Drosophila melanogaster: one gene and its partners. The protein of the gene in region 2 purifies or fractionates together with the protein of the main gene of each other region. This does not show direct contact. Each region holds a gene or a part of one and is shown on either strand. Other genes may lie near its edges.

Region 1 (3,556 bases), on a different chromosome or scaffold from region 2:
CCATGCTCGACTCATGGTTCTGGGCCTCGAAGTATTCTCCAAAGGTGTCCAGCAGATTGAGTTTGGACAAGTCCGGACTTGAGAAGCTATTACGCTGAGACTTGTTCAACTGGGATGTGCGCTTTACCGGAAGCACAGGCTCCGGCGTGGGGGCATTCTCATACAGTGGCAGGACCTCATCGCTGGGTTCATTGGCCACCTCGCTGGTGCTGCCGGAACGCTTTTGACGTGAACTCCCGAACAGGTTGTCCAGCATGTTCTTGTATTTCTTCTTCTTGGCCAGCTCCGATTCGGGATTGGTGCTGGACCGCGCAATCTCGCCAAGCTGGGCGCACTCAAAAGTGTTTATTCGCTGACGGTAAGGATGTGCGGGCAGCGGTGGCGGTGAAGGAGTCTCCATGACTGACGGCTTCATCTCTTCGTAAATGCCGGATGCGATTGAGACGCGGGAGATGCGGCTGCCGTCAAAAATCTCCTCGTATATTTGCGAGACTCGCGGAGAGAGAGCGCTAGCGTCGAGGGTTTCCGGCAGGTTAGGCAGTGGGCCCAGACCTCCGGGACCCCTGCTCAGCCGGCGCTGTTCTAGAAAGACCTGGCGATAAAGTTCCAGATTCTTAATCGACTTCCGCATCCATTTCATGTGACGTCGGCAGGATGTCTCCGTTTCCAGGGCGAAATAGATGAAGCAGTCCCGCCGATTTTGCGTCCAAAACAGCCCGTACGAGTGCTGCTTCGTGCGCGAGGTAGCCAGGCTCAAGCTGACGCCCGGAACGTTTACGGAGACGCTAATGGGTTTAGCGGGGTGACACTCTTGGGAGTGAGACTCGGTCTCCATGGCCTGGAAACTGAGCCGCAGGAAGCAGGGCACACACTTAATGGCCTCTATTTTCACTTGGCAGCGGGTCCATGTCTTGTAACGCAGCGCCACTGGTCGCTTATCGTGTGTATCCAGCTTGGCGTCCATAGTCATGGAGATTTCGTTGTGGTCCATCTTGGGGCTACTGCTACGTGGTGGGGCGGATGGAGGTGCGGTGAATGAGTTGCGAGTGAAAAATAAAAAAGTAAACGATCTATATCCGCTACTTCGAGAATTACATCTTTTTTGCGACTGGGTGGAGCTCTTATCGGCTATTCTCTTATCGCACGTTTATCCTTCGTGTCCTCGTGACGTGACTGGCGTTGCCACCTGGCGGAATATCACAGAAATCGCGTTTCTAGAAGACCAACAAATGAATTTATAACTTCAATATACATCAATCAAACTTAAGGTGCTCAGCCTAAGCTACACAGCTCTTTTAAGTTCTTTATTTATACTTTTAAATGCTAAATGCTTACATGTTATTTGGACATCTTGAGTACTAGCTTAATAAGAAGGTAGTATCCAAGCAATTCTTATTTATAATCTCTTAACTAATTTACACAATCTTTTAAATTATTTTCAAGATCCATAACCAGGTCTAAAACCAAACAAATAAAAACTAAAATCCTATTTATACTTCGCTTTATAGCTATTTTAATATTTATTATTAAAAAACGCTAATGATGTTTTCAAAAATGTTAGGCATTTCCTTTTAGTATTTAAAATTCTACATCCGACATTGGGGTATATTTGACTTCTACTTGGCTGAGTATGAATTATGATTTGCAAAAGAAGTAAAAATTTAACTTTAAAATTAGGTATCTGTCTAACTGTTTTTGTCGTTTAAAACACAGGGTAGGTATGGTTTTCTTTCAATTTAAAAACATCGCTAGAAAACTGTTTCCAAAAAGTAAGCTGCATTTTTTGTTTTTAGTTTTGCTTTATACAGAAATTTTAATACTATACTTTTTTGATAAGCATCCACCAGCAAGAATACAGCAAGCTTTTATTTAATATTTTATTAACATAATTATTTAATATGAATGATTGGTAATATTTTGAAGTACTCTACTACATAGCAGTCGTAGGATTTGTTATTTTTCACATTATTTTTGTAGGTTTGTAATTATATTTTAAGGGATATCTTAATTTTACATTCCTAAAATAATTTGGTAACTTTTTGCGATAGTCGTGACACGAAATCGAGGGATGAAATTGCATGTGATGCAGCCCCTTGAGCAAACAGTGTTGGACAACAGCGCGCGGCATCGGCATTTTTTGGCGGCCATTACAACGAATGGAAAACTGTGAAGCGTTGCGCACAAATTAATGCATAAACAACAGACAAGCAAGTAGCACACGCTCTGCCGCCTGACAACCAAACCCACCGAAAGCACAATACACATCTCCGAAGATGTCTTCGAGCGCTGCCAGGGTCTACATCCAAGTCGAGACAGAGGCCGAGCAGAAGGAGCACCTGAAGCAGCAGAGACAGACCCTGAAACCCTTGCAGGGCAACGTAAACGATAAGGAGAACCTCACTGGTTCAGGGCGCGCCTCCATCGTGGATCAGCTGAGTCGTCTGAAGGCCGGCGTCCAAGTCGCGCCCAAGTACGGCAAGCGCAAATGCGTGGACACGGCGCCCGCGATTTCCACAAAGGATGCGGATACCCAGACTGATGCTGAGGCCGTTCCGCTTGGCAATGCTGACAAGCCCATCACGGCAGAGGATCTCACTAGCACAGCCGAACCCGGCGAGAACTACTACAAGCTGCTGGCCGAGCAGCGGCGACTGGCGCTGGAGGACTCGCTCACCGAAAACCGCCATCTGCACGAGCGCATCGAGGGGCTTGAGGAGGAGATGGACACTATGCGCCAGGAACTGGACGAGGCCAAGAATTTGGTGGAGGTCCTGAAGGAGATCTGCGAAGAGGACAACAGCGAGGTGGAGGAGGACGACACTACGGGTGACGAGGACAAGGTCAACGCCTAGGCTACACACCAATCACACGTTTTTTTTAGTCTAAGGTTTTACATTTAGTTGTAGTTAAATATCGCGTTTATATCCCTGTTCGTCGTCAGCCAACACAACGGCTGGTCTAATTGTACGCCAGCAATATATTTACTTGTTACACGCCAGTTATAATCCTAATAAAGTTTTACATTTGCACAATTGCACACAATATTTAATTCGTATTCCTGTATTTTATGTGCAACTTATATAAACCATTTCGCATCCATATGCTAGTTTAGATATGCTCTTTTCCTTTCATTAATTCTACATCAAAACAAATGTGTTTATTAGCTTACATCAATGCGGATGGATTTCAATGTGTGGGGAGCTAACGCAAAAATAAAATACTCAAGGTACAACATATTTTTGAGACAAATATTTATTGGATGTAAAACTGTGAACTGCTACTTAAGCCAATCTGTAATAACTTCCTCGCTGTGGAAGTTATCCACGTCAAACTGCAATAAAGGAAGAGAAAAAGGTAAGTTTGGGAAGAGATACAAAGAACTAGTAACTCACCACAACGCACTCTTCGTAGGTGGGTACGGTGCCCACGATGTCTACATCGTTTACCACAGCGTTTATGTAAGCGGCATCTGCCTCGGCTGCCGCTATCAACACCGCAGTCTCGGAATCATCGGTCTCAGCGACGTGTGCAGCATCAGTTGAGGTGGCGGGATTCT
Region 2 (7,822 bases):
TGGAACTGACTCATTTCAAGTTGATTCAACTTACGCGAATCGTTGTAAAGCACGGAGAACTTGCGCGCCACCTCGTCAAGGCACTCGGTAAACCGCTCGTAGTACGGATCATAGAATATGTTGTCTATGCGTCCATTCACATACAGATATTGCTGAATGCCTGAAGGAAGAGATTCCAATAAAATCAAATGGTACATGTGTAAACCTGGGGAGTAACTACATACCCAACACAAGGTAGTAGATGGTGTCCGGCGCGTATTCCGTCCCGTTGGGCTTGCGCACTTCCTTGACGAAGAGGCAAAGCGAGTAGTTCAACTCGTCGGCGGTCATTTGAAGCAGCTCCGTCTTGAAGGGCCGCCGGCGCATCGAGCTCTTCTCGATGTCCGCGTTCTTCGTCATCACCCACTGCTTCCATGCGTTCACCCCGAAGGTGTACTTCAGGAACATTTGGGCGTCGGGCTTCTCCTGCGGCTGCTGTGCCTGCTGCGACTGCTGCTGCAGGGCCGAGTGATCCATCTCGCCGCCGCGCTGCCTTTTCACCGGCGAGCGGCTGTTGCGGTTGGGTGGGTCCATGACGACGCCTACGCCGCGCTTGCGTCCACGTGCGGTTCTGAAAGTCATCACATTTAAGTACTTGAGTATTGATCTCTGATTGCCATCTCTCTTAACTCACCGCTGCGTGGCATCAAGCATGTGATGCTGCTGATCTAGATGATGTACTCCCATTTGACCCATTCCGTCGTGACCCATCGGCGACTGGCTGCTGATCGTATTCGCCGTCATCGACGTTTCCAGATCCACCGTCGAGGTCTGGTGATGATTGTCGTAGTCGCCTGTGGCCATCTTGAGGGCTATCTGCAGCATATCGTCGCCGTAGGGATTATGTCCGGCTCCGCTAACGTCCACCACTTGCTGTTGTTGCTGCTGTTGGGCGACGGACTCGAGGCTGTTCTGGTACTGCAGAGCTACCAGGCCCGGATCCGGCTTGATCTCGTTGTCCGAATCGGAGTCCGATTCGTGCTTCTCCTCTGCCACCATCTCGGCCATCATAAGCAACTCCGCCTCCAGTGGATCCTCTGGCATCTTGTCCTGTATCTTCTTGATCTCCTTAAGTATGCCTTGCGCGGTGTTGCGCGTGGTGGGTATGAAAATAGGCACCGGGATTGGCAGCGGAATGGGCACTGGTACGGGGAACGGAGCCGAGTACATGTACATGGGTTGCGGCACGAAGATGGGCACCGGAACCGGGATGAGCACCTTGTTGGAGTAGTCTTTCTCCGTCTGGGTGGCGCAATCCCGCACATCCGGACTACACTGCTCGCCCTGGGTCACCGTTAAGGGCTTACAGCTTATGTTCACGTTTCGCACAGCCTTGGGATATGGTGGCACTGTGATGATCTTGGTCTCCGTTACCGTAGCCGGCCCGAAATCCATAGTCGTGGTAGTATTTCGCCTGACCGGAATGCCCATGTGGGAGCTGCCACCTGACATCGTGGGCGATGGTGAACGCGCCGAGTAGTCTACAGCGTGCTTGCGTGGCCTTCCTCGCTGTGCTGGCGGATGGACACCCGGCATGGACAGCGGCGGTGATGAGGTTCCCGATTCCCGTGGACGTCCACGCTTGCGACGAACCGTCAGATTGCCGATCCGGGCTTCGGTTTCGCCGCTGGCGAGCGATTGCACCGTGGATATAACCGGTAGCATGGTGCCGGAGCCGGATTTCTTGCCTCCAACGCCACCTTTTCCAGTCTGCAATTATCGGGGACATTAATTATATGCAACTTAGGTATGATACTTAATTAATTTACGTTAATTCCCATTTTGGTGGACATTGAATGAAATTAGGATTGCAATTGAAACTTGAATTGAAAGCCAAATTGAAGTAAATGTATTAATAATTAAGCGAGCAGGTAAAAAAAATTGCAAATACTTCGTTTACGTTCAATATTTTAACACTTATTGCATGGCTATCATTCGATTGTAAAAACTTAAAAAAAACCCAGTGTGTACCCTTTTAGTTTATTATTTAGTTTTTGACTCACGTGGGAGAGCTTCAGTTTGACACGTTTGGGCAGGCCCGTGGGAAATGGTGCCGCATTCTTGTTGCCTCGATTGGATTGCTGCTGGGACTTGGAGCTGCCGGCGCTACTGGGCGGTAGGTCGCTGTCCAGCGTGAGGGGAGCGCGGGCGAACTGATTCTGGAACTGCATCACACACTGGTAGGTGCAAAAGTTGCGCATGGAAGCATCCGACATGGTCAAATGATACTGTGGCGTATTGAAGTTGGAACAATTGTCGCATTTGGTAACCGCCCTGGCGGAGATGTTGCAGCTAACGCCGTGCATGGTCAGGCAGTTGATGGAGCAGGTGAGCGTCTCCTGATCGTGCGGCCCACCAATCTGATAGATCATGTCAAAGTTGTACTTCTTCACCTTGCACCACTGGCAGGAGACGATGTGCCTGTTGACGATGATGTACACATTTATGCAGACCCGCGAGCAGAAGACCTTCGGTGACTGCTGTTCGTTGTAGATGGTGTAGGACTCGGCGCTCCGCCGCTCAAAGTATTTGGAGCACATGGCACACGGATCAGCGTTCACGTTGCTCACAAACTTAAAGGCGGAGAAGCAGGGATTCGAGCAGAAGTAGTGCTCTCTGTCCTCCAGCAGCATCTCCACCCTCACTGGCTTCTGGTTGTTGCACACACCGCAGACATCGGTGCGTAGTTTTCGTCGGGGATTGCACATGCTTTCGTAGCGACGGAGGCAGGATTGCGAACAGAAGTCCTTGAACTGATCCTTGTCACCCACCGGGGCAAGGAAGCCCTCCTGCCCGCCGCTGATGTCCTTCTGGCAGCAGGAGCACGTCTTCAGACCCTTCTTAAAGGTGTTAAGGCAGCCGGCGCAGCAGAACTGCCGCACATCGAAACCGAATCGCACGCAGTACTTGCCAAGCGCTATGGAGCTCACCTCCTGCTTGCAGGTCTCGCAGGTGGAGCCAATGGTGCGCTGATAGCTGCCCAGGCACACCTCATTGCAGAAGTCCATGGTCTCCCACATGAGCTGCTTCTCGTCCGTATTGATATCCGCCTCGCAGTCGGCGCAGCGCCTTCGGAAGCTTTCGATCCTGTCCAGGCGCGCCGTCTCTGCCTCCTCCACCGTCCTGGCCACCACGCTGCCGTCGGTCCGTTTGGTGGGCGAATTTTGCGGTGGCTGCAGCGTTGTGGCGCCAATGTTGCGCACTCGAATCGAGTGCCGCTTCAGCTTGAATTTATCTGGCTCCTCAGCGTTGAGCAGATTGAAGCAATCGTCATTGCAAATGTAGAAGCAGTCCTGGTCCTGTTTAATGAAATATTTGCACCGCGTCTTATCCTTGCACTGCAGGCAATCTTGCGTGTTGGCTGGAGTAGCTTCCTCCTCGGCATCTCCGCCCTCGCCATCGGCGCTAGCCTCCGCTTCGGCGGCGCCTTCTTCTCGAACCACTTCCTCGACCAGGAACTTCTTGCGGCGTACAAAGTACTTGCCGGGTTGATCTTCTAGCAGGGCGTCGACACAGGCGGTATCGCAGATGTACTCGAACCCACTGGGAGCAGCAGGCTTTTGCCGAGCCTCCTCCTCCTCCCCCTCCTCAGCGTTCTCCTCTGCCTTATCGTTTTCCTTCTCCTTATCCATTTCTTCTGACTCCTCTGGACTCCTGTACCGAAACCCACAATTCTTTTCATCGCCACACTGTTTGCACTTCTGAACGCTGCCAACGATCCAACTAATGATGATTTTCGGCGTGGAACCAGGTTCACCCGCTCCGGCACTGGAGGATTCCTCGGCTGTGGGCTCGTCGGGATCGGGAACATCGCCACCGGCCTCCTCTTCGTTAGCTGCTGCAGCTACTCCATCTGCTGGCAAAAAAAGGGGATTTACGTTATATACATTTTAATAAGCAATCGTTCTGTATGCTAGGAGCCAATTTTGTAATAACAAACTAAATTTAAAGCAAGAATTAAATGAATAGAATGCAGTCGAATGAAGCAGTTAGTGAGTTTTGCCCAGGAATTAACCCAATCTGCTCACCTTCTGCAATGCCTGTTGCCGCCGACTTAGCTCCAGCTTGAGCATCTGCAGGCAAAATGGATAGAGTAGATGTGGGATAGGGCATTTCAAGTCTTAGTGTGGAGCACTTACCAGTTGGCGTGGTTGGAGATACGTCGGTGGCGTCAACGGCAGCTGCACTGTCGTCTTCTGGATCGGCGGCGGCATCTGCCGGGGACTTTCTATCGTTATCGGGTGTCTTGGCTTGCCGCTCCTCGGCTTCCTCCTCTTCGGCGGCCTTCTCGGCATTCTCGCGGGCCAGTTCCTTCTCAGCTTCAGTCACTTCCGTTTCTTGATCATCGGGAATAAGGCAAACATCTGATTCCTCTGGCTCCAAAACATTTTCCACTGTGTCTATAATGTAAATAGTTCATTCATTTAGTCTTTTATAAACATGCATCAAAGAAGTACTAAGACTTACCATCGCCATGTTCGGCCTCACCAGTTTCCTCGGCATTTTCATCCACCTGCTCCGATTCCGCATCTCCTTCTGCATCCGGATCATCTTCATCGGCGGCCGCATCTTTCTCCCGTTCATCAGGATCTTGGCCATTTTCCTGCTCCTCTAAGCTTGTGTCCACCTCATCTCGGCCCTCCGGTGGCTCTGCATCCTCCGCCTGGTGTGAATCTGCGCCCACGGACTGCATATCTACATCATCTGTCGCCTCTCGATCCAGAGCTGCGTCGTCTTCTGCTTCCTGCTCAGCTTCACCTTCTGCATCCACCTCGCCTTCATCCACATCCATTGCTTCGGGTGAAGCGGGACCGCCGTCCACAGCATCTGCTTCGGCGGCCGCTGCCTCCACCTCTTCCGCAGTGGCCTGGAGGGCATCAGTCTCCTCCTCCGCCTCCTCGGGCTCTTCCTGTGGATCTACCCTCACGGCTTCTGTTTGTGGCTGCTCATCCTCACCGCCTTGCGGCTCCTCGTTGGGCGTTGGCTCCTCGGCGGGCTCCTCCGCATCCACGGGATCAGCTGGTGTACTAGCCGCCTTATCCCGCGACTGGTTATCATCGGCGTCTAATGATCCCTCGGAGATCTGTTCGAAGTCGTCATCCGCCTCCTTGGAAGGAGGCGGTTTGCTTTCCTGCGCAGCTGCATCCTCCGCTGGCGGCGAGGCGGGCGTATCCAGAGTTTCACTGGCCGCCGGAGCAGTCTGTTGTCGATCCTGATCCTGTTGTTCCTCCGACCTGGGGGTGGCCGACTCCGGTCGCGCATTGGAATCGGCGCCGAACGAGTCCAAACTGGATATCTCCTCCATTTCGCTGCTTGATTTTTTAACCGACTTTCGCTGTACGTTTGTTTATATAGACATGAAAACTGCAACAAAAGGAAAACAAACAACAAATGGTTAGGGCTCGTCTATCGATAACATTCGCGGCGCGGCGGACTATCGGCTGGCCAGGGCCCCACACCATTGCCGCCTAAAATGTGTACACACACACGCACAGGCACACCGACGCACACACACACACACTGAGCCCACGGTACAGTGCACGAAAAAACAAAACATGCGCCTCCAGAGAACAAAAAAAGTGGGGAAAAAAGGAGGAGTGTGTCTGTATGCGCCGCTCTGCCAGGCAATTAATATTACTGCACTTGCATTATCTTTTTTGGCCGCGTTGCATGGGCGGCTTTTCCGTACTTTTTTTGCTGCCTTGCCGTACGGTACTTCGATAATCCGCAATCCGAGCGCCGACTTTTTTTTTCGGACAGCACGAGTTTGTTGTGGTGAGCGCGTCTCCACAGGCGAATTAACTGCCTTTCACCGCTGCGCGTGCGGGCACATCATTAACGGTCGGTTCACGGTACGCGCAAAACTTTTCATCAATTACCAAACACCTTTTTGCACTGTGCAATTTCTCGCTTTCTGGCCACTGTGTGAATTTTCGGCTTTATGCGAGTAAAATGGCGCACTAGTGTACCAAATGCGGCCCTCGCATAACGCGTTCGCTTCTTGGCTGGTATCTGCCGGAAAATACCGAAAATGGCGCATAAGAAAATACCGGCGTGAGTGGTGCAACCGGTTGGCAGCACTGCTCGTTTATCTTTTTGAAAAATGCTTCTAAAGTTTGGATCGCTTTTGATCAATAGGAAATTATTGAAAACTACAACTTAAATATAGACTGTCTTTCATCTAAGCTTCCCCTTAGATGAGCTTCCAGTTTGCCATATGCAAAAGATACCCAATACAATGCTAATGAGAACTGATATTTTATTGGCTTATTTTTTTTAAATTTTTGGGTTTTATGCGCGAAGCTTTTGGGAATTCCAAGTAGTTTTCTAGTTTTGATTGATGAATCCCTCGGCGTCCAGAAGAACATTGGGGAAATACTTGATAATTTTGGTGAAGTGCGGGAATTTTTGCGTGTTGGCGAATGTAATCTCATTGATCTCCTGATACTGCTTTAAAATCGTGATGAGTTCATCGGGAGGCACTGCATCCGCCACCAGCCAGTGCTGGATGGCGTAGTTTAGAGCATAGACCGGGAGTTTCATTAAACTGGGTTCGTGGATCAATGATGCGCCTTCCTCTATGATTTTCTAAAGGATAACTAACTAAATTAAGGCTCCATTTTATATTCCAATCTACTAACCTCGATGCAAACGCGCTCCACATCGATGATGTTATGCCGGAATGCTAGGTCGAAGGCAGGAAAGATGCCATCCAGAGGCAATTCCTGCTCCTTTAGTTTCTCAGCAAAGGAGCGAAGGAGCTCCGGCATGTTGTACGCGCAGGACAGGATGAACATATCCCCCACCAGCTTCAGCTGGACCAGCGGCGAGGTCACCTCGAAGGTGTATATGAACTCCAGGAAGATCTCCACGCTCTCGGGCGAAACCCCATTGATCTGGAGTACGCCGTTCCAGTCCTTGTTCTGGTACACGTCCTGCTCCAGTTTGTCGGAGGCAGTGGCCAGGAAGATCCGATGGCAGCCAAATTTCTTGTAGCACACACTGACCGCCGGCTCATCGGATTGGGGGCAGTTGCTCAGGACGTGCACCTGGCAATCGGCATCGGCTCCACTGCGAAAGTATTCCAGTCTGCGGTTTCTACTCGTAGCGCGTTTGGACCCATCACTCGGAGAACCCAATGGTAAATTCTCCTCAACATCCGATGCAGCTGTGGTTCTGGGCACAACGAGTTCCGGCCTCAAGTTCTGGATCCCTCCCTGGTCGTTCGCCTCACCCTCCTCCTCCTCCTCCAGGTCGGACCACCGATTGTTGCTTCCCAGGTGGGCTTTGCCGGCGGCCTCCTTCTCAGAGTCTGACATTCCTGCCAGGGAAACCCTAATTTCGAATTCCAAATTTTGTGCTATGTGAGAGCAAAGCCTCCAAAAAATCCCCAGTCACTATGAACTGCAAGCTACGCCGCCTGGACCTGTTGCGGAATGGCCAAAAGTCGGACTGCGAGCTCCATGTCTCGCAACCGGACAAGTTGAAGGAGGGCAAGCGTTGTCCATGCATTTTCCGCTGCCACCAGGTGATGCTCATCTCCGCCTCCGCGGAGTTCGAGCGCCTGATCAGGGATCCCGAGTTCCAGAAGAACAAGCGAGTGATCAGCGTGGACGACGCCTCTCCCACCGCCTACGAGGCGTTGCTCCTCTACATCTACACGTACGAGGTGTGCAATGCGGTGACCATCGACATGTGCGGTGACCTCATGCTGCTGGCCGAGCGCTACGAGATGCTGGACTTCATCGACTGCTACATCGACAAGCTGGCCCACCAGGAGTGG
Region 3 (7,753 bases), on a different chromosome or scaffold from region 2:
CTCTGGCACACCCACAATTACTCGTATAAAATCCACTTTTTCGGAATGCTCGAAGCAATTTCATATTCAAAATCATACTTCTGGTGTTGCAGCCACAACCTTCTAATATCAGTTACGACTTGCACCAAATAATCATTCGAAAGAATTCCTCAAAAATTACATACCAACATGAATGTACATATATTCTGAAAACAATGCGTTTGCCTTTTCCGATTGACACAGTGAAAATGAACAAAAGAATGTTGAGGCTGATGATGAGCGAAACAAAAGTATAAAAGATCTGATTCACCAAAAGTGAAATTCGTAACGTAGATCTTGTGGAAGTGAAGAAATTCTTATTATAATCTAAAAAAACATAATTTTTGTTTCAGTATCTAAGCAACTTTATCCTTGTAAGTTTGGTTCCATGTTTTTGAGCGCCAAAAAGTAGGCAACAAATTAAGCTAAATCAAGCGAGCTCGTGTTGATCCTTAGATAAGCAAGGACTATTGAAACAACTCAAAGATAGTTGGATTAGTTTTAATAATTTTTTCCAATTAGCAACTAACCAAAATACAGAAGGCATTATGTTTGATCAAATTTGGGCTAAGGCTCCGCGAATTGCGTGTTTGACTGCGTGACTTTTGTTTTCCGAAACTCACCCACTTTCGCACGGGCCATTCCATTCAGATCCCGACGCCATGGTCTACGGGTATATGGAGTGGAGTGGAGTGGAGGTCTCCTTGAAACGCGGTTGGTCACGAAAGCGAACAACAAAGAAAAGGCTTGCCCGTCATTTGAGGCAACATTTAATGGCCACTGGCTATGGGGCTATATGGCTATATGGCTAAAAAGCTATAGGGCTCATCCTGAATAAACAGGGGTTGGTGTGTGTGGGTGTGTGCGACTAGGTGTGTGTGTGTGTGTGTTGGTGTGCGAGAAGTTGACGTTCGTTTGTGAAAACGAAGAAAGTGATTAAATCAGCACGATATTTTGTAGGTGTGCGCTAGCTCACCCATTAAATTTCTCCCATCCGCATTCGTGTATGTGTGTGTGTGAGCCCGCACACACACCTACACATTTGAGCTACTGTTCTAAATTGACTTTTCGCCTGGACAAAACTAAAAATGACGACATCGCGTTTTTTTTCGCTTTCATAGAAAAGCTTTGCCTCTAAACATGCCCATCATGCGCGTGTTTATAAACAACACAGATCTCTTACCAACCTGTATATAACATTTATATGTATATATATATAGAAAGGTGTGCTGGGCCTCCGATTACACTCCCACATGCATGTTCGCACACATGTATGCAGTTACCAAATATGGGAACACACGTTAATGTAATTAAGCCTTAAGGCTGGATAAATGCCAACTCGAGTCGTATATTATTTGCGATATTGCAGGCAGTTATAAATTAACTTCTTTATGACTGCTGCTAATTTGGATTTTCAATTCGAGTGCTTGTTATTTTGGGTGTTATTTTAAAAGAACTTAAACAGCTTGAAGATAAGGTTTCAAAAACGTTAAGCCATTATCATTATCCCAGGACTGCCTCATTTTTGGTGGAAGCGATTTCTTACATTTTGTTACAATTTAAATCTGTATTGGTTTTTCACGCAATATCTTTAGTTTAACGAATATCATATATCCTATCTTGAACTTCAGCATTTCGAAAACGGTTTCGAGTGGCTTTGAAAAACCAGTAAGTTCCGTGCAAATACCCCTAATGAAGTTCAATCGGCGCGAATCAGTGGTTCGCGCGCTTATCGATAGGCAATGTTTTGGTTTTGCTTGCTTTCGGCATAAAAACGTAATTTTCATGCGGTTTTTGCGGCAATTTAGGGACGTTTTTCGTTTGGCAAGTGGTGTTTGTGTTATGAATTAAAGTAACATTTAACTCATTCAATTGAATCATCGCATAAAGCAGAGTGTTTTTGTGTTTGAAACTGAAATCTGCGCACGTGTTGACTAACTTGTTGTTATTATTATAGCGTTGCTTAGATATTCTAGTAAATTGGCCGCAAATCAAAAACTATAAACAATTCTCGTGGCTGTTGAAAATGGAGAGTTCCAAACTCTTGAGAAATGCACAAACCCAGCATGGAGATGCCTCATCCGTGGACGTGGAAAACATATTCCTGCACCGCCATATGCTATACACAAATCCCACTTCGGATGGCAATCTCCATGATCGGGAAGATTCCCCCGAATGCGTGTGGTGTCCAGACGACAAGGATGGTAGTCCAGCTGAAAGCAAAGATCCACCGGTGAGTAGTGATAAGATAAGACATTCTATTAAGTACATAGATCCGGTTACTATTATATATCAAGATATCATACAATATATAATTACATATGATCCGCATTGTTTGCTGAGTATACCTTGTGTATTTATAAAAAAGAAAACTAAATTTTTAAAATTATATACTGTATAGTTATAATTTTTTAACATTACAGAAATGTTAGAAATATATTGTATATTCAGGAATATATTTATGTGTAAAATCCAGCTGAACTTGATTAAATGCCGTTTTGTTCATGCACTTGAATGCATATTTGTTTACCCTGGCGTGTCGCCCTCCATTATTAATTCCCATTTATTTACCCGCTTTATAGCGAGGAATCCGCGGCTGGCGACCACTTCTCCAACTTTGACCGATTCGCAGCTAGTAAAAGAGCATATTTATCTTGGGGGAATCGAATGCCCAAAACAATTTAGTCCGGTCTGCTCGCAAATTGTGTGGATTCGGATTCCTGTCCTCACTTATGCAGTATTATTGGTGTCGAGGGAAATTTCAATGCAGCAGCTCCAATCGCACACTTAAAACTTAATTAAAAAGCTAATCAGGGAGTAGCAAATGCAATTTGCTGCATTAATTTAAACAATTAATTAGGTACAATTTCAATTGTTGTAATGCTCTTCATATCTAAGCTCATTCATACTGTAGTAGTTTAATTCTAAATTGACGTAATAAACTAGAGGCAAATTAGGTTTTTGATTGAAGCTTAAAGTGTTGTTTTGTATTTATTCTTCAGAAAAAGTTTCGAAGTAAGTTGCAAACTAATTAATAACAATAATGAAAGAAAGCTCAAACAGCATTGCGTGACACCCACACATGTGAGTGAAAGAAATGGGTTTATTTCAGTTTTATTCTATTACCTTAAAGTTTCGAGAGTCATAAAATTGTATATAAACATGCGGTGGAGCCAGGAGGAGTAGCTGCACCCTGGTACCTGGAGATTTAAGCCATTTTTACGAGACTTTGAGTCACAAATGCCCCAATAAACGAGACTGCAGTCAGTGCCTGCAGTGGAAGAGTCAACGTTCTGGCCGCCATAGAAATTTAAAGCCACCCCTAGGCGTCAGTAGATTCTTAAAAATTTAGGGCTTTGCTAAGATGTGCAACAAAAACCAGATTTTAGACAAAACCCTTAATGGCCCACAAAAACCGGTACAGGCATGCTAGTTTCGTGGCTTTTTGTTTGCTGGTTCCTCCACCTCAACGTACGTGACAGTGTCAAATGGCCTTAAATATTTAGCCAGAGTGTACACTTAAAGCGCCAGACCCATTCCTAATTCTCTCTCGCTAATTAAACTAATCAATAAACTAAAAACCGGAGTGTATACAAACGCATATACATTATATACATGTATATATATGTATATAGGGAAATAGCTCGAGGTTGTCGTCTGCAAGGAGTTAAGTTATGTGTGGGGACCAACTGGACGCACGAATGGACGGACACGTTTCACTTGCCTTCGTAGATATTTTACCACGGATTTGTCATAATTAGTTCTTTTTTGGGTGGGGTTTCAGTGGGTTTCTAGTGTCCCGGCATCTCGCGCGGTGGCTGCCTAACGAGCTACTTTTGTCAAGTTGGTCTGTTGGTCGTGATGTTTCCGCAATTATTAGTGTCAGTGCCTCGTGCTTACGGGCGGGTGGGTATCCTAAGTGCGGTCCTCATTGTTTCCGCGATGCGCCTTTTGGGCCAGTCGTTTTTATAATTCTTACAATACCATGTAAACACGCATTACGAAAACCGCCGCGGATGGCGGTTACTGGTTTGCAGGAAGAGGAAAATCCCTCTAAGACTTGGTCGCCTGCACTCCTTTTCCATTTTCCATTCCACTGACACTGGCTTGCGCCATCAAACTGAGGAATTAAAAGGGAAGATAGGCTGCCTGTGGACTAAGTGGCTTTGCGGATCAGGCACACTTTGCGCAATTAACTAAATAAATAAATGTATAGAAAAGTGGTTGTTAAGAAAACATAAGCCTTGTCATTCGAACATATCAAATATTCCCAAATCTTGCCACTTTAAAAACTCTTGTTGGGCTTTTTGCACAGACACAATACCTATTTTTTTTAATAAGGTTTGATTGCATCCCCTCTGTTAATTATAATTAACAGGTAATATTAATGATTTTAACTTTCTTTTTGTGGCATAATAATGGTGGCATATTGACTTGGAACAATCAAAAGCATTATTTATGTTGACTTTAATAGCCAAGGACAAACAAAAAATTATGAAATAAATAAAAATAACAATTGCATTAATATGTAAAATCTGTGTAGTATATATATTAATTAAGACCATAAAGGGAACAAAACCCATAGAGATGGCACTTTCGAATGTGTTGAGATATCTGCGAGGCGCCAAATTGAATTGATCTGGCAACGCTAAGTTGAATTTGTTATCAATGTAGGTTAATGTGAAGAAAAAGAAAAATCGTGGGTTTGTTTACAAAAAAGCGCGATAAAAATAGAATGCGAATTGGCGGCAAGTGAGGGGAGCCGCCGATGATATCCAATTTGTATGATAATTATGCGCACAGGTGTGGACGGATTGGAAATGTGCCATCAAGAGCATGTGGAAACAGAAACATGAGCCAATGAAGGCGACGGAAGAAGAGCATGTCATTATCCTCCAGTTGGATAAGTTCCAAGATGCTGATCCGGATGAAATCAGGGTGTATCAAGAAGCAGTACCCAAGGGAGTTAGCTCCTCTAGTCTTAAAAACACCGCCTAACAATATAAAAACCTTATCGAAACCCATTGTTAGCTGATAACAGCTTTAGAATAATCTCTGCAGGATCAGAGGTCACTGCAATTCTTAAGGTAATTGCAATTCTTAAGGTAATTGCTGTAGAGCTTCGTGAAACTACGAGGACCGACGCAGAATCAATGATGTCTATGGCACTTGAGATGTGGAGAAGGGAGGGCAGCACAAAAATGATAAAAAATGTTTGTATTTTATAGTTTTAAACTTTGCATAACCCTTAAACAACTCAAGAGACCTGTTTTATTATGGACTTTTGTCTATGTTTGCTTCCTGGCTAGAACATATTGGCTGGTAGACCAGTAACCAACAAAATACTACTGGTTCGCAGCCAATTTTGTAGTTTTTGTTTTCCTTTTAGTGTGCAACAAGGAAAAAACAAACAGTCTGTCTGAAAATTATGCTTGGGCTGCAGAATGAAAACGAGGAATTGTTTGCACACAAACACCGGAAACAAGGCTCCAATGTGTTAAGAGCTGATAAGCTGATAAGGATACATATATGATGACTTTGGCACGGTAGGCTTTCGTATTTTCTGTATCTTCAAGAGTGAAGTTCCTCAAATCTAAACGAATTTTCTAAATAGTAAGCAATTGTTCAGTTTAAAGCAAGAACTAAAGGTGTTTTTGCTCAAAAATAAAAAGAAGACATTCAATGAAGCTGAAAATATTTTAAAAAACTATTACCACCCGTCGTGGTTTATCTTACAGATATCCATATCAGAGGAAAAGTCTGAAACGCAATCAAAAGAAGTTTTGTCGGAAAAGCGAAAAGCTAGCAGCACAGATGACGAAGGGCATGTGAAAAAAGTAAAATTAGAGGCCAATAGTCTAAAAACGAAGCGTCCTGGATTCAGCGATGAAAGATACGACGAAACATCGTATTATTTTGAGAATGGTATGGCCAACATATTAATAAACCAACTTAGAAGATATTCTGTTATAAAATTGCAATCTATAGGTCTGCGGAAGGTGTATCCTTATTTTTTCACATTCACCACGTTCGCCAAAGGACGTTGGGTTGATGAGAAAATTCTGGATGTATTTGTCCGCGAATTTCGAGCCGCACCGCCGGAGGAATATGAACGCAGCCTGGAAGCGGGAAAATTGACTGTTAACTCTGAGAAAGTGCCCAAGGACTATAAAATCAAGCACAATGATCTGCTGGCCAATGTGGTGCATAGGTAAGCATCAGCAGGAAATCTCATTTGAATATGCACACATTTGCATTCTAGACACGAAGTCCCTGTTACTTCACAGCCCATCAAGATTGTGTACATGGACAAGGATATTGTGGTTGTGAATAAGCCGGCATCGATACCGGTAGGTATACTAATTTGGAAGGAATTTGATTTAATAACAATCGTATGTTGTAGGTACATCCTTGTGGAAGATATAGACACAACACGGTAGTTTTCATCCTGGCCAAGGAGCACAATCTGAAGAACCTGCGAACCATTCACAGATTGGATCGTCTCACATCTGGCCTACTTTTGTTTGGACGGACTGCTGAAAAAGCCCGCGAATTGGAGCTGCAAATCCGAACTCGCCAAGTGCAAAAGGAATACGTTTGCCGCGTTGAAGGACGCTTTCCAGAGTAAGTCCAAAATGCATCTAATCTTTTATATATCTGCTTATTTTTCATATCTTTCGTAGTGGCATAGTTGAATGCAATGAGAAAATCGACGTCGTGAGCTACAAAATAGGTGTTTGTAAGGTTTCACCGAAGGGCAAGGACTGTAAGACCACATTTAAAAGAATCGGCGAGGTGGGCAGTGATAGTATTGTTTTGTGCAAACCACTAACAGGACGAATGCACCAAATACGAGTGCATTTACAATTCTTGGGTAAGTGACAACCAGATAATTCCATTCAATTATAACACTCGTATTTCACAGGCTATCCCATTTCAAATGATCCTTTGTACAACCATGAAGTTTTCGGTCCATTGAAAGGAAGAGGAGGAGATATCGGTGGAATAACCGAGGAACAGTTGATCAGTAACCTAATTAGCATTCATAATGCAGAAAACTGGTTGGGCTTGGAAGGAGATCAAATCGTATCAGGGGAAATAAAAGACGTAGCAGCAAGTACTTCAGTAGTAGAGGCTCCCTCAGTAGTTCAGGCTCCTATTAATAGTGAAACTGAAAAGCCTGTGATTTCAAAAAACCTTGAACCAAGTAACGATGTAAGTAACTTAAAATAGTTGTACAAGTCTGGAGAACACAATGCTTATAGGCTACTGCACAGATTGCCACCCAAACGTGCTATGAGGAACCAGACAGGTCCTTTGATTCCAAGAAGACAACTTCGGATCCGCAATGTTCTGAATGCAAGATAAACTACAGAGACCCCGGCACAAAGGATCTCATAATGTACTTGCATGCATGGAAATACAAGGTCAGTTTCAAACTATACATTTTTAAAGATTTAATTTCAAATTAAATCTTATTTTCAGGGCGTTGGTTGGGAGTACGAAACCGAATTGCCGGAATGGGCGTGTAATTCGAATATTGATTACGATAAAGTATAAAGGAAAAATTGATTGCAAACACGACGCTTTAGTAAAAAGAAATATTTTTACAGAGTTTAACAAATTGTGTTTCCATTTTATCTTCATTTGTAGCATTGTTTTATTACTTTGCCGAATTACTTTATCATTTTGCGGTGCAAGGGGATGTCCTCGTGGAGTATTATTTATCGTCGTG
Region 4 (4,813 bases), on a different chromosome or scaffold from region 2:
GTCCGCGGGGTCCACCTGTTCGGATCCAGCCAGATCCACCAGGCTCAGTACGCTCTGCTTTACGGTGTCGTTATCACTGTGGTCCGACTTTCGGGACTCAATGATCTGTAGAAATAATCTTGCATATTATATGATTAATACAAGAATCTAGCACTCACTATCCTGAAGATGGCGTGCGAACGACTGGACCGCTCGTTCATGTTGGTCTCGCCCACGACGCGCTCCTTGTTGCCCATGTAGAGCTGGCGCAGGAGGTCGTCCTCGCTGGTTACGATGGACTCCTTGCAGTTCACATTCACAATCCCATTGCCGGACTCATGGATCTTGAGGTCCTGATTCTTCTTGTTCAGCAGATCGTAGATCTTCTCGTTGTAGATCTCGATGTAGCCCACGCGCAGCAGAAAGTCCCGCTCCGTCTCACTGGAGATCTGTTGAAAGATCTCCTTGGCGGCTAGCACCATGACGCCCGGATTCTGTTCGTCGCCCATCATGGTGTACGTCTTGCCTGAAATGCATGCCCGGTTTTAGGTATACCGCCGCGTATATATAGCACAGTACCCACCCGACGACGTCTGGCCGTAGGCAAAAATAGTTCCGTTGGAGCCCTGCATGCAGGCGTGCACTATGTGCTTGGCCATCCGGTCGAACACCTCCTGGTTGCTGGCGCCCTCGTCGAACACATAGTCTGCCAAACGGAATGGAATGTAAATGAGATAAAGGTCTTGTAGATCAGGATACGCTCAACGCTCTAACCACTCACCGAAGACATAGGGCTCCGCATGGCTGTCCGCCAACTGGATGGAGCGGCCCTCCTTCACCTGCCAGAGTGAAGTGAGCCCGGGCTCGCAGGGACGCACCTTGATGCAGACCTGGATGGAGCTGGCGTTCTTCGTAGACATCTTTGCGACTTGTGGGAAACGTGTTTGACATGCACAATGAACAGACACAAACAGATTTTAACGTTTTATAAAAGCTAGTTTGATCGACATGTTAGTTTCTCTTTGTAAATTCGAACAAATACCGCTTCGGAAGCGAACCAGATCGAAATACGGAACCAGTAAATAGGCGCGAGCCAGTTCAATTTAAAAGTTTGAGGAGCTTTCGGCGAATATGAAAATATAATCCAATAGGCTTCGAACATAAAACTTTTTCCGAGCTTTTTCGTGATATATAATATAGATTATTATTATCTATATTTCCAAAATAGTAAAGACCGCTAAATTAAATGCTTACTTACAGACAGACAAAAGCTGAGGGGATTGTTTAATGCATACAGAAGAATACTGTCTGATATAAACATGAGATTTCATTGGAATAATAATCCCAGTTGTTCACTATTAAAAAAAATAGGAAAATTGAAAATTTGGAAAATATTATAGTGGTTATATTAGGGAGCTTAGTTATAATTTATTTCAAATATTTGTTTTGGAATCAAATACTTTCCACATTATATGTGTGCTATGAATAGAAGTTATGAATTAGTAGAAAAAATACGAACTTATATGAAATTTAAACCGTAGTTTTCGCATGTATTTAAGAGCTTGTTCTATTTTCTGTTTGACCTTAAAGTATTGAGTCATAGAACTTTGTTAGTTAGCATGCCCTACCAATAAGAACACAACGTCTTAGAATATATATATGCCGTAGCGACCCTTGATCAGGAATGTTAATGCAGCCCTGTGGGATAAGAACATAATGTGTTTCTGTTTTTATTTTTGCAGCCCTATTTGGAACTATGATAACAATCGATGAACCGATTTATCTATCGAGTCGTTAGCGCCACTCGAAGATATCGAAGCATATACATCCCTGATTTTGCAAAGCGGCATTTGTTCGAATTTAACGAGCAACAAAGATGTCGATCAATGTTTGTTTACTGTAAAACATTGAATTTTATGTTTGTTTATGAACTGCGTTCTGTTTATCATAAAGCATTGAGACCAAGAAGGCGCCAAGATGTCTGCGAAGAACGCCAGCTCCATCCAGGTCTGCATCAAGGTGCGTCCCTGCGAGCCCGGGCTCACTTCACTCTGGCAGGTGAAGGAGCGCCGCTCCATCCACTTGGCGGACAGCCATGCGGAGCCCTATGTCTTCGGTGAGTGGTTAGAGCGTTGAGCGTATCCTGATCCACAAGACCTTTATCTCATTTACATTCCATTCCGTTTGGCAGACTATGTGTTCGACGAGGGCGCCAGCAACCAGGAGGTGTTCGACCGGATGGCCAAGCACATAGTGCACGCCTGCATGCAGGGCTTCAACGGAACTATTTTTGCCTACGGCCAGACGTCGTCGGGTGGGTACTGTGCTATATATACGCGGCGGTATACCTAAAACCGGGCATGCATTTCAGGCAAGACGTACACCATGATGGGCGACGAACAGAATCCGGGCGTCATGGTGCTAGCCGCCAAGGAGATCTTTCAACAGATCTCCAGTGAGACGGAGCGGGACTTTCTGCTGCGCGTGGGCTACATCGAGATCTACAACGAGAAGATCTACGATCTGCTGAACAAGAAGAATCAGGACCTCAAGATCCATGAGTCCGGAAATGGGATTGTGAATGTGAACTGCGAGGAGTGCATCATAACCAGCGAGGTTGACCTCCTGCGCCTGCTATGCTTGGGCAATAAGGAGCGCACCGTGGGCGAGACGAACATGAACGAGCGGTCCAGCCGTTCGCATGCCATATTTAAGATAGTAAGTGCAGCCTGCTATTTTCTTTCCGATAATCTGCAACATGTATCCCACAGATCATCGAGTCCCGAAAGTCGGACCACAGCGATGACGACGCAGTGATTCAAAGCGTGTTGAACCTGGTGGATCTGGCTGGGTCAGAGCGGGCGGACCAAACGGGTGCTCGAGGAGCGCGCCTCAAAGAGGGCGGTCATATAAACAAGAGCTTACTTTTTCTCAGTAACGTTATCAAAAGTCTGTCGGAAAACGCGGACAATAGATTTACCAACTACCGCGATTCCAAGCTGACGCGCATTCTGCAGGCTTCTTTGGGCGGCAATGCATTCACATCCATCATTTGCACAATCAAACCATCGATCATGGAAGAGTCGCAGTCTACCCTTAGTTTCGCCACGCGAGCCAAGAAAATTCGCATTAAGCCCCAAGTCAACGAGATGGTATCTGACGCCACAATGATGAAGCGGCTGGAGCGAGAAATAAAGGTGCTTAAGGATAAGCTGGCCGAAGAAGAGCGCAAAAACGAGAACCAGCAAAAGGTAGAGCATCTGGAGAGACAAATAAAACACGACATGCACAAGATAATCTGTGGTCACTCCCTGAGCGACAAGGGTCAGCAGAAGCGTCGCCGTACTTGGTGTCCCACTGCATCGGGATCGCATTTGGAGCTAGCAGAGACCGGCACAACTGAAGATCGAATTGACCAATTTCCAAAGGTCTCACACCTTCCAAAACCAGTGTTTTTTCACACTTCAAATGCAGGCAAACGATGGGACAACATTCCAAAGACCATAAACATTTTGGGTTCCCTGGATATCGGTACCGAGAGCAACTCCATTAGTGAGGAATTTCTCCCGGCAGAATGCATTGATTTTGGCTCCCCTCGCCCAGATGTCCTCAAACCCATGTTGACCATCAGGCAACTGCCAGACCTGCCCCTCACTCCCAAGGGTCCCTTAACGTAAGTACTTCTGCAAGCTTTTTGATCATCCTCCATAACATTCATCACATAACAATCGCATCCACATACCCCGACCCGATCCCTGCACTTATTTGCCTGCACAGAACGGATAAAATCAAGAAGGAAATCCAGGACCTGCAAATGTTCACCAGCTTAGAGAAGCATTTTGAGGTGGAGTGCGAAGAGGTGCAGGGTTTAAAAGAAAAGCTGGCCGAGGTTACAGCACAGCGGGATAATTTAGAGCAAGAATCGTTAGCCGAAAAGGAGCGGTGAGTTAATGAGGTGTTTTCTGTCAAGGAATCTGTCGTCCAAAACATAGTGCCTGCATCGTAAAAAACGATGTAAACGTAACTCGACTTTTGTGCTTTAAGCAGTCAACCCAAAATCTAACATACCTATTCATACAAATCTGTAAAACTAGTGCAGCGATATTCTATTCCATTCTATAAAAACAAAACACTTAAGTATATGTTTCAGTTTTTAACAGTAAATTTTGTTTATAGAACACCACTCCACAATACCTGTTTGTTTGATTTATTTTATTATAGTTTTAGTGTTTAACAATAGTTTACTACTTGTGTATCTTCTTATAGTTATGATGCTCTGGAAAAGGAAGTAACCAGCCTAAGAGCGGATAATGAGGCTGCGAATTCAAAAATCAGCGAATTGGAAGAGAAACTGAGTACTCTAAAGCAGACTATGAGAATAATGGAAGTGGAAAATCAGGTGGCCGTGGGCCTCGAGTTTGAGTTTGAGGCTCACAAGAAATCATCGAAACTTCGCGTGGATGACTTACTCTCTGCCCTTTTAGAAAAGGAGTCGACTATAGAGAGTCTTCAAAAGTCCCTCGACAATTTAACCCGCGATGTCTTACGGAACAGCAAGGAGGGCCACATGCTTTCCATTGCCCCAGAGCAGGAAGACATCGCCGGCGACAGTATATGCAACAAGTGTGAGGAACTGGAGAAGCTGATTGCAGATTTAGAGTCCAAGAAAAATTCATGCGAGTGTGATCAGCTCCGGTTGGAAATCGTCTCTGTTCGCGACAAGTTAGAGAGCGTTGAATCTGCCTTTAACCTGGCAAGCTCGGAGATTATCCAAAAGGCGACTGATTGCGAGCGACTTTCGAAAGAGCTATCCACATCCCAGAATGCCTTTGGA

What was found.
Region 1: the proteins of woc (region 2) and geminin purify together in Drosophila melanogaster (affinity purification with mass spectrometry, with the first as the bait; one large-scale study listed by BioGRID). This does not show direct contact.
Region 3: the proteins of woc (region 2) and RluA-2 purify together in Drosophila melanogaster (affinity purification with mass spectrometry, with the first as the bait; one large-scale study listed by BioGRID). This does not show direct contact.
Region 4: the proteins of woc (region 2) and cmet purify together in Drosophila melanogaster (affinity purification with mass spectrometry, with the first as the bait; one large-scale study listed by BioGRID). This does not show direct contact.

What each region holds. Positions count from the first base shown.
Region 1 is NT_033778.4:6,654,947-6,658,502, reverse strand, and holds geminin (geminin), read left to right. Parts: upstream 1-1,908; 5' UTR 1,909-1,977; intron 1,978-2,048; 5' UTR 2,049-2,273; coding exon 2,274-2,852; 3' UTR 2,853-3,040; downstream 3,041-3,556. Other genes in the region: sced (scrambled), read right to left, coding at 1-991; Opbp (Optix-binding protein), read right to left, coding at 3,278-3,331, 3,393-3,556.
Region 2 is NT_033777.3:27,258,049-27,265,870, forward strand, and holds the start of woc (without children), read right to left. Parts: upstream 6,008-7,822; 5' UTR 5,729-6,007; exon of another isoform or gene 5,687-5,728; intron 5,404-5,686; 5' UTR 5,345-5,403; coding exon 4,507-5,344; intron 4,440-4,506; coding exon 4,179-4,439; intron 4,113-4,178; coding exon 4,068-4,112; intron 3,901-4,067; exon of another isoform or gene 3,896-3,900; coding exon 2,043-3,895; exon of another isoform or gene 2,002-2,042; intron 1,938-2,001; exon of another isoform or gene 1,833-1,937; coding exon of another isoform or gene 1,809-1,832; intron 1,750-1,808; coding exon 674-1,749; intron 611-673; coding exon 225-610; intron 161-224; coding exon 35-160; intron 1-34. Other genes in the region: CG14262 (uncharacterized protein), read right to left, coding at 6,367-6,627, 6,681-7,358; CG14260 (uncharacterized protein), read left to right, coding at 7,439-7,822.
Region 3 is NT_033779.5:10,475,342-10,483,094, forward strand, and holds RluA-2 (RluA pseudouridine synthase 2), read left to right. Parts: upstream 1-1,731; 5' UTR 1,732-2,044; coding exon 2,045-2,251; intron 2,252-5,756; coding exon 5,757-5,943; intron 5,944-6,006; coding exon 6,007-6,229; intron 6,230-6,280; coding exon 6,281-6,368; intron 6,369-6,421; coding exon 6,422-6,642; intron 6,643-6,701; coding exon 6,702-6,892; intron 6,893-6,943; coding exon 6,944-7,233; intron 7,234-7,283; coding exon 7,284-7,445; intron 7,446-7,503; coding exon 7,504-7,578; 3' UTR 7,579-7,634; downstream 7,635-7,753.
Region 4 is NT_033779.5:11,265,990-11,270,802, reverse strand, and holds the start of cmet (CENP-meta), read left to right. Parts: upstream 1-1,800; 5' UTR 1,801-1,956; coding exon 1,957-2,095; intron 2,096-2,170; coding exon 2,171-2,293; intron 2,294-2,350; coding exon 2,351-2,697; intron 2,698-2,750; coding exon 2,751-3,652; intron 3,653-3,756; coding exon 3,757-3,921; intron 3,922-4,245; coding exon 4,246-4,813. Other genes in the region: cana (CENP-ana), read right to left, coding at 1-105, 159-505, 563-685, 761-899.